Linked DNA regions of Arabidopsis thaliana. The protein of the gene in region 2 purifies or fractionates together with the protein of the main gene of each other region. This does not show direct contact. Each region holds a gene or a part of one and is shown on either strand. Other genes may lie near its edges. The genes, in order: PAF1 and CPN60A.

What was found.
Region 1: the proteins of CPN60A (region 2) and PAF1 fractionate together in Arabidopsis thaliana (co-fractionation; one large-scale study listed by BioGRID). This does not show direct contact.

Annotation. Positions count from the first base shown.
Region 1 is NC_003076.8:17,158,453-17,163,097, forward strand, and holds PAF1 (proteasome alpha subunit F1), read right to left. Parts: upstream 2,705-4,645; 5' UTR 2,524-2,704; coding exon 2,173-2,523; intron 1,304-2,172; coding exon 818-1,303; 3' UTR 592-817; downstream 1-591.
Region 2 is NC_003071.7:11,924,458-11,930,120, reverse strand, and holds CPN60A (chaperonin-60alpha), read right to left. Parts: upstream 3,676-5,663; 5' UTR 3,519-3,675; coding exon 3,465-3,518; intron 3,151-3,464; coding exon 2,967-3,150; intron 2,870-2,966; coding exon 2,748-2,869; intron 2,674-2,747; coding exon 2,466-2,673; intron 2,381-2,465; coding exon 2,235-2,380; intron 2,153-2,234; coding exon 1,846-2,152; intron 1,761-1,845; coding exon 1,309-1,760; intron 1,225-1,308; coding exon 937-1,224; 3' UTR 633-936; downstream 1-632. UniProt on the Arabidopsis thaliana protein: Binds RuBisCO small and large subunits and is implicated in the assembly of the enzyme oligomer. Involved in protein assisted folding. Required for proper chloroplast development.

The DNA.
Region 1 (4,645 bases), on a different chromosome or scaffold from region 2:
AATGATTATCGTTCAAACCCTGTTGTAATGTAGGATAATCTTACAACGAGACACCTGAACCCGTAAAAGATCTTGTGTTTTCCAATTGCCTTAAACGATTTGACGTAGTTTCGTATGTTTAATTCACAATGTCTTTTGACACCGAAAACATGACTGTTCGTTGTTAATTCAATTTTATATGATCCACTAGCTCTTAGATGCAATGATAAACTCTTGATCATTTTTTTTTCCTTTGATGGTTAATTTGGTGTATATACGAGAACGGATGCTGGATAAAGCAAATGATTAAGAGAGACGGCAAAGTCAATGGGTCTGGTTTACATGGTTCCCATTATCCAAAGTCTTTCGTAGTCGTCACCATGTAGGGGGCCACTTATGTTTTCTATTAGACTAAATGACGTCGAGCTAATGATTTTATCATAATTTACGATTTAACATTAAATTCTGGAGTTCTTTGGGTTAACAAATTTTAGATTAACCTTCGAAGGAAACTTGAGGCTGGTCAATTTTTTTGTTAAAACCCTCTGCAGGGCAGGCCTAACAAGGCTGGCTTGGCCTGCTTGACAGCCCTAGTTAGATGACACTACACACTTTTTTAGCAAGGAATTGCAGAACCAAAGAGATAGGAAGTCGTGAACAGATTTCAGATTTAAACCAAAAGACCAGAATACGAGAAAGTCTTGATGGCAGCTATTGAGTTTAAATGACGAAATGGTTTCAACTTCTCAAGCATATAATCTAAACCCGCAGCCATTTTGCAAAGTAAAAATCCAACTAACATCGAAATAAAATAGTTCCAGCGTTACACACACAAGCCTTACATTTCCATTGGAGCCACGTCTTGGTCACCTGCAACACCACCACCTCGTTCTGCTGGTGCAGCCTCGGCAGCTTCGGCCTCACCCTCACCAGCCTCGCCTTCTCCTTCCTCTTCCTCTGGCACTTTCTCAAATGTGTCGATCACTTTCTGTATTGCTTCCTGGTCCAGGAAGTGGAACGGTTCATCGACTCCTAGAATAGCGACTGTGCAGAGAGAACTCTTCAGTGTTTCCCCTTGCAATGTCTCCCTAACAGCCAAAATAGCATCTTTGATCAGATCTTCTCTAGAAGAATCCCCAAAGCTCTCAAACCTGCGTTCCAGATAGGTCTTTGCTGCTTGGGAACGGGATCCAATAGCAAAAGCTTGGTACTCGAAGTAGTTTCCGCTGGGACAGTTGTAGTAAAGGTGGGCTCCAGACTCATCCAATCCACCTACCAGCAAACCAACACCATAGGGTCGTTTCCATGATCGTTGGGTACAGACCTGTTCATAAAGGCAAACATACACATAAATATTTCCTTTTCCAGATCAAGAAATATAACAAAAAAAACCCTTGGTAAAGACAAGAAATATGACAATAATGTAACTTAAGTTGGACCTGTCAAGTAAAATCTCTCCTACAAAAGAGTAAACCAACTAATAAAGTTTGACAATGAGGAAATACAAGACCCTTCCTTTTATAAACACATATAATATATGGGAGCTCTTCCCAATGGCTTTGAAAAGTATTTATGCAGATGTGGATAAAACAGCTAACTTAAGAAACCATTAGATAGGTGGAAAAACAAAGTGAGAAGTAGCACATAATTACAGAAAAGATGTCGAACAAGCACCTAGCAGGAGTAATTGACTGGTAAGATAAGTGCATAGTGGTGAGAACGATGCAAAACAAAGAGCGGAATTCACTTCTTAGAGGTACTGAAAATCAATAACTCCAAATAAAAACTGCAGAAACAAGCAAAAGCACCAGAAGAAACACAAATCTCTTTCTTTTAGAATCCTATTGTTAAGCTCTTAGTTATGGTTAAACTTTTAAATACAAGATTATGCAGCAGTAACAACAAACATGCAAACAATTTCACTAAACAAGATTCAAGTTTCTGCTATGATAAATTAAGAAAACTCTTATTTAATGCAATTTAGAATCCTAATCAGCTCAGATCAAACCCTAAGCACAAAGTCAAGAAGCTAATGGCTAAATTTGAGCTCAGTGATTCACAGTGTAATCGAATTCCAAATTCCTCAAATTTCAATTAACAATTACAACACACTTATCACCGAATCACACAAAACCAAGCGTAATCGATTCCAAATTCCACCAAATCTCAATCAACAAACTACAAAAGCCTAACCTGAGCTTTATCAGCAAGATGAACAACGAGACGACCAACAGGAAGAGGAGACTCATAAGTAAAAGAGTGATTAATCGATTCCGATCTCATATACCGAGACAATACACGACCGTCGGCTGTGAGACCAGCGATTGCAACACCGATATGGTCATCGACTTTAAAGATCTTCCTCTGATGCGAAGAAAGCTCCGATTGAGCTTTGTTAACACAAGCGAGAACGACATGAGAACGAGATCTGAGTCCAATTGCTGCAGATCCTTGCTTCACTGCTTCCATGGCGTATTCCACTTGGAATAAACGACCTGTTGGACTCCATGTCGTAACATCTGTGTCGTATTGGTTTCTGAACATCTTTGCTTCTTCGTCTCGCTTTCTTCTTCACTCGTCGTCGAAAGGGTTTATAGAGACGAAAGTTCAGAAACAAAACTTTTCTTTTCCTTCAAGCCATGGATGCTCTCGATCTCTCTCTCGATTTAATGGGCTTCTATTAAATTCTGGGCTTTGTATTGGCTCGGTATCTAGCTTATTGGGCTAAGACTTTAGGCATATGTTTTATACAGACTTTAGGCCTATGTTTTTATACAGGATAATCCTTGTATATTCTTTTTTTTTTTTTTGATGAAATGTGAAATTGTTTAAGAATCTTTAAATATGTACAAAAGAGTTTGGTCAATAGTTCTCAGTAAAAAAAAAAACATTAGACAAAACAGAGCACACTAGCTTGAATATTCTTGTATATTATTTGAAACTAAATAAAAATGAATTAATTTTATAAATATAAAACTTTGCGATTTTGTTATTAGTAATCATATAATTTGAATTGTTACAAAAAAAAAGTCTCTGTGATTGATCCTATTTAAAATTTTAGAACATTTATCATTTTTAAAATTGATATCTTAAAATTAATTTATTGTATATTTCTAAACTTTTATGACAGCTGAAAAGTCATACATTTTTAGTTTTGACGAATATAGTGATGAAGTAGATCATAACATGTGCTTGTACAACACTAATAGAATTTTGATTTTTAAATATTTATTTAAATTTGAATTATTATTTGTTTTATAATATAGTTTTAATCATTTTATACATAATATAGAAGTGGATTGGTAACGATTGTTATTTTCGACTATTATTATCAACTGTATGATAATTAATCGTTGAGTCTTTAAGAATATCGCGAAAGTTCATATTGTCTCATACAAGAAGATTAACAAAAGCATATTCAGTTTAGCTCAAGTTCCTTAAACTGGAATCACAGATGACTAGGGGATTGAATTTTGTAGCATCGATAAAAACTTAACTACTCAGATTTTTGTTGTAGCCACAAAATCAATCACCCAATGAGATCAAGTTCCTTTACCTCCACAAACAAAGCTCTACAACTAAGCTTTTGTATTGTTATAACGTAGTTTCTAGTCTATGTATGTTAGATCAAGTAAATAAATTCAGCACTTTTGTGGTTTTATCTCCCTAAGATCAGTTACTAGTTCATGACGCTAACTAGCTACATGCAATAAGAACAAACCTAGAACGAAAAACTTCTAAAAACAAGCTATTTTAAAATCGTCACTTACCTTATTCAATTATGAAATCTCCTTTGATGAAACTTTTAAACCCAACTAACAAACTAGTAATAATAATAAAAAATTAATTTAACTATTAAATCTAATTTGCCACTAAAAGAAAATTATGTATCGGTTTGAGTTTATTAGAAAAAATGAGAGTTTAGATTTTATGATTAAACGAGGTTAAATATCGGTTTGGGTTTACAAAATACGATTAGGGTTTAGATTTTATGATTATACGATGTTAAATATTAGTTTGGGCTTATAAACATATTTAGATTTTACAATTAAACTAGGTTAAATGTCGGTTTGGGTTTAGAAAATACGATTATGGTTTGTTTTTTAACGATTAAATAAGTCTAAATGGCGGTTTGGGTTTATAAAGGAGAATTAGGGCTTAGATTTGGTAATTAAACGAGATTATATATCGGTTTGGATTTACAAAAAAGTGGGGTTTTAATGATTTATTTTAATTATTTTATTTTGATAATATTAATTGTTTTAAGTTTTTTTAATCAAATAACATGGCAAATATTGATTTGTTATTAAAGAGGGGGTGAATAAATTAGGTTCACCCCCTAGAAGTGAACCCAAGAATTATTCTTTATTTGATATTTGATGATTTGTTTTCAAAATTTTAATTTATTTATTATATAGATTAGTTAAAGTTAGCATATACTATGATTTATAACGTTTTTATATGTTTTCACTTATAATTACTTTCTAGATTTGTTTTCAATTTTGTAAGTTTTCCTGATTCAAGCATCTAATGACAAAAAAAGCATCTAATTAATTACTAACTGATCTTTTTGCTCTCTTTTTTTGGTAAACACAAATTCAAGCATTAATTAGTTAATTACTAACTGATTTATTTCTATTTTTTTTTTATAATTAATGATATTTTT
Region 2 (5,663 bases):
TCGAAGGGCAGAGAGATTGTTGCGGTCTTTAAACGCTTAGAGTTGGCTAAAATGTATGTCAAGAATTTTTCCCCTTCTACTCTATCTCTATATCCTTTCCACTCGAATATCTCTAGCTGCGATGACAAGCATCCGGGAACAAGACTCGGTTGATTCCATCAAAATGGAAGATCCTCGGTTTTGTAGATATATCTCTGAGAAGCAATAAGGGGTATATATTAAGCAAAATTTTGACTAGTATTTTAGTCCATCAAAGCTAGAACAAGAAGAGGAGGAAGAGAAGGATACATACATAATCATCTACCAAAAATTCTTTTAGTTTTGGAGCAGTTCCAAGTCAAAGTACGAGTGGTTCCAACGAGTCTGATCTCCCTGTATATATACTTAACTTTACAAGAATATATGGATTGTGATGTCCTGTGAAAGTATTGAAGATAACTGAATATGAAGGAACAATTGAAGAGCTAGAGGAAATGAGACATTTCATAGAGAAACTGTCATGTCTTGTGCTTGTCAAAGTTCGTGCCTGTGCAATAAACGACAAGGAGAAGTATCGAATCACCGGAGATCTGCTAATGGTTCGTAGATCATCGAAGTGCAATATCCAGATCAAGTTTTATGAGAAAACTAGTAAAGGCATGAAAAAACATTGTTCCCTCCTAGTTTAATAGTATAGTAAGTTGGAACATTATTCAGTTTGTACGCATATTTGCTTATTGTTCTGCTAAACTACTCTCGCTACATATAAAATGTTTGGTCGCATACATAACCATTTTCTGCAATTTCCATTGGACAAAAAAGATGATAATTATTTCTCGATACTGTTAACAAACTACTCATATTCCCCCAAAAAAGAAAAACATTGCAGATAAATGGGGATGACAAATGTGCAAAAAGACAAAGATGCCATTGTGATGATAAGATGTTGTGTTTTGATTACACCATGAGACCCTCAGGAGCAGCAGCAGCAGGAGCCTTGGGTTTCGGTTTGTCAACAACAATGGCCTGAGTGGTCAGTACCATTCCTGCTACGGAAGCAGCGTTCTGTAGCGCACATCTTGTCACTTTAGCCGGATCAATCACTCCAGCTTCGAACAGATTCTCATATGTATCAGTCATTGCGTTGTACCCATTCTCCCAATCGCTGAACATAATCTTTTCCACAACAACTTCTCCTTCAACTCCAGCGTTCTGAGCAATAAGAGCAGCTGGTGACAGCAATGCCTGAACTCAAAACATAAACCCTTATAAGATAACTAGTCACAATTGGTTACAGAACAAATACTGAACCGAAAAACTAAATGCTACCTTTTGTACTATGTCAGCTCCCAAACGTTCATCAGCATCCTCAAAAGTCTCCTTAATGGCGGGAATAACAGTGGAGAGATGCACCAAAGCAGCACCACCACCTGGAACTATGCCTTCCTCGATAGCAGCAAATGTTGCGTTCTTTGCATCCTCGATACGAAGCTTACGGTCCTCAAGCTCAGTTTCAGTTGCTGCTCCGACTTTAATGACAGCAACACCTCCAGATAGCTTCGCAATTCTCTCAGCGAGCTTCTCTGAGTCATACACAGAATCAGTCTCGAATAGTTCTTTCTTCAGCTGAGCAATCCGAGCTTGTAATTCGTCCTTGGAAGCTGCATCTGCAATGAGGGTAGTCGAATCTTTGCTAATCGTGACTTTTCGGGCAATACCCAATTGATCTATGGTTGCGTTTTCAACCAGTAAGCTCATGTCCATGGCTAGGTACTCAGCTCCTGAAAAACATACAAAATGATAAAAAGTTTAGACCATAACAGAGAGAAAGTAAAAGTACTAAACGCACGCGAAATCTGCATATACCTGTCAAGATTGCAATATCTTGAAGCATGGCTTTTCTTCTTTCTCCAAATCCTGGCGCTTTAACGGCAACAACATTGAGGACACCACGAAGCTTGTTCACGACAAGGGTAGCTAAGGCTTCACCAGTAACATCCTCTGCAATAATCAACAACGGAGCACGAAGCTGAGTGGTCTTCTCCAAAATAGGGATGATGTCTTTGATCGCAGTGATCTTCTGATCAGTGATCAATACCCTAGCATTCTCAAACTCAGCTAGTAGTTTCTCAGGGTTTGTAACAAACTGAGGCGAGATGTAACCTCTGTCAATCTGTAAATAATCAAGTTAGTCATTGGCAATGAATGGTGAATAAAATTACAGTTGAAGAGAAGCAAGACAAAAAAACTCATACCTCCATCCCTTCTTCAACTTCGACCGTGGTCTCAAAAGAAGATGAAGATTCAATGGACAAAACACCATCAGGTCCAACTTTGTCGATGGCATCAGCAATCATTGACCCTATAAGGTCATCATTTCCAGCAGAGATAGAAGCCACAGCTGGAAAAAAAAAAAAGAACAGATTGATCAGTAAAAGAAATCAAACATTGCTGCATCACAAGGAAGGTCACTGCAAAGTTAGTACCTCTGATGTCATCACGACCTTTCACGGGCCTAGCTTTCTTCTGAAGCTCTTCGATCAGACCTTGAACAGTCTTATCAATTCCCCTCTTGAGTGAAACGGGATTCGCACCAGAAGTGACGCTCAACAATCCATGTTTGATTATCTCCCGAGCAAGGATAGACGCAGTGGTTGTCCCATCACCAGCAGAGTCATTAGTCTTACTCGCAACCTACCACATAACAACACCAGATTACCGCACCGTATAAATAGCATTAACAGAGACAATAACAAAGCTACACCAACCTCACGAATAAGCGCTGCACCAGCATTTTCCATGGCATTAGGTAACTCAATAGCTCTAGCAATGGTGACTCCATCATTCACAACCTTAGGACTTCCAAATTCATCCAACACAACATTCCTCCCTTAAGAATAACAAATGAAAACACCAAGATAAGTCGAAAGATAAATAACACAGATGAAGATGGAAAGAGTAAAGGAGCTACTAATATTAACAAATACCTCTAGGGCCAAGAGTGAGACCAACACAATCAGCAAGCTTATCAATACCAGCTTGTAGAGCAGCTCTAGAGTGCTGGTCAAAAGCTATTTCCTTTACATTAGCTCTAACACTAAAACGTCTGATTGTCCTCTTGTTGTAGCTAACTCTCTGACCTTGCTGCTGATTTCCTCCTCCCAACTTACTCTGTATACCCACAACATCAATAAAGCAGATTCATTAACATTAATCTCAATCAGTTTCTTCTAATTCCCATAAAAATTAACCTTTTCTCACCAACCCAGAAACCAAATAGAGAAAAGCAATTGAATTGAAACAGAACAAACTAAAGGGTCAAATTCAATCACTTTCTTCAAAAACCCAATAAACCAGATAGAGAAAGGTTTTTGAAAATAGATAACACTGAAGGGTCAAATCCAATCAAAACAAAGTAATGAAAGATGATTCATTTTCTTCTTTAGTAAGTAGCTAAGGAAGGTAAAAAGGAACAAACTTTGTACCTGACGGGAAGAACAGAGGACGGAGGCGGAAGAGAGAGCGTTTGCAGACGCCATTTTGAGAGAAAAGGAGGGAGCTTTTTGAGGAACGTTCTGGATTGGTGTGGATAAGGAAGTGGTTAGTGTAAACGAATAGTGTGGGAGGAGGGGTTAGGGTTTATTAGATAAATGGAGAGAGTAGCTGAGAGAAAAAGGATCCAGAAGATTCTTTGCATTCGTAACGAGAGAACCGTTGATCTTAATAAGCCTTTTTCACCTACTTCTATGGGCCTGTTTGTCTCACTGTTTATGGCCCAATAATAGAAACAGTACTCAAGAAACTTTTATAGTTTGTGTATTCCAAATTCGTTTTTATCCATTCTCTTACTGAATGTACTCACTCTGTTTTAAAATATAAGAGGTTTAAGGTAAATGGATACATATTAGGTCATTTTGTATATAAAAAATAGTATTTAGATTTTGTTAAAAAAAATGATAATGAAAACTGCAAAATATAAATAGTCACAAATAGTCAAATTAAATTTAAATTTAAACTTGTAAAACATCTTATAATCTGAAACAAAATAAAATCCCTAAAACATCCAATATAATGAAACAAAGGGAGTAATATTTAGACCAAACTAATAAGTACAATTTAAGACTTGTGAAAACCATGAGATTATAAAATACATGTTAAGTGGATGAAAACACCTAGCTTAGAGTAGATTTACCCGCTAAGTAAAACAGAAACTCTCATAAAGACAACAGTTACTACTTTTCTAAACAGAGAATAGACTCCAAATCACCTAATTGCTACATGATTAATTGATTTAGTTAAGCCAATACAATTTGTTTCTAAATCTTTTTTCATATAAGTATTGCTTGTTGTACGCATCATATACCATGCATTAAATTAGTTTCCCATGAATAAATTCACTAGTTACGGAAAAGAAAAGTTGGGAAGTGAGATAATAAATCTGACAAAAGTGGCAGTTTCAACTCTGAAGCGTCAATCACATAAATAGTTGCAGTTTGGCGTTGGGTTTGATTTGATTGAGTGAATTGACCAAATAAACACACTTAATTAATAACAAAAGGGAAGTTACGTAACACAAAAATTATAAATAGGGACGTCTACATGTATTATTCCTCAAAAGATGCAGCTTACCATAAGATGACGTCCATATCTTTAATGGAAACCGTGCCGTAAAATTGACTGCCAAAATGTACAATGTAGAAAACATGAGTAAACTAACAGTTGTCCTGATGTACAAAAAAACACACTAACAGTTGTCCGATGAAAAGAAAGAGACATGTAATTTAAAGCATTACGACAAAAAGAGTAAATAAATAACACTGTTGTTAACTTGTTTTAGTAATCTATTGTAATTATTTTCTTGAGTGGTTGTGATTGAAACGAAACAATTTAGTGGACTACTAAGCAAAAATAGTTAGGATATATAGAGCATGCAACAAAAGACATGCAAAAACATAATTTGGTTTGATGTTTTGCATATGTGTTTATAGTTTTCTAAAACTTAAAGTGCCTCATATAAACAAATAATTAAGTTAAAAGTGTATTAAAATTCTGAAATTTAACCACATTCCTATGTTCTATATGAAAAAACAATTATTAACCATTAAACTACCATAAAATAACTAATACTTTATAGACTTATGATTTTATTTTATTTTATTAAAGAATTTAGTTAAAATTAATTTTAGGGCCGTTAATTTTATTGTTTTTTAGATATTCCGTAGTTTATTGCATGTTTCAATTTGTATAAAAATGTGTTTCATTTGGATATTGATACATGTGTATCAGTTTAAAGAAGAAAATAATTTTCGTGGAAAAAAACCGACAAAATAGATTTTTAAGAGAGTAAGTACAGTACCGTGTAATAGAAAGACTGATAAAACCCACCTTAATACGTCAAGAAAAAAACCATTACAGATTTTACGGCTTTACGCAATCATTATTCTCTCTCAGTCTCTCTCAGTCTCTCTCTCTATCTCCCACGGTCGGTTTACATACATATCTAAACTCACCACCGGAGCTCCGACGATTTTTCCGGCCACCTTCCGATCGGTATGTGTTGTGTTCCCTTTTTTCTTCTGAGATCTATCTGTCTTTATCACTTCCACTTACCTTATTCATTTTGTTTCTCCTCGCGAGTATTTGTTTTGCTCATGGTACTTATAGTTCCAAATTGAAATCTTGAC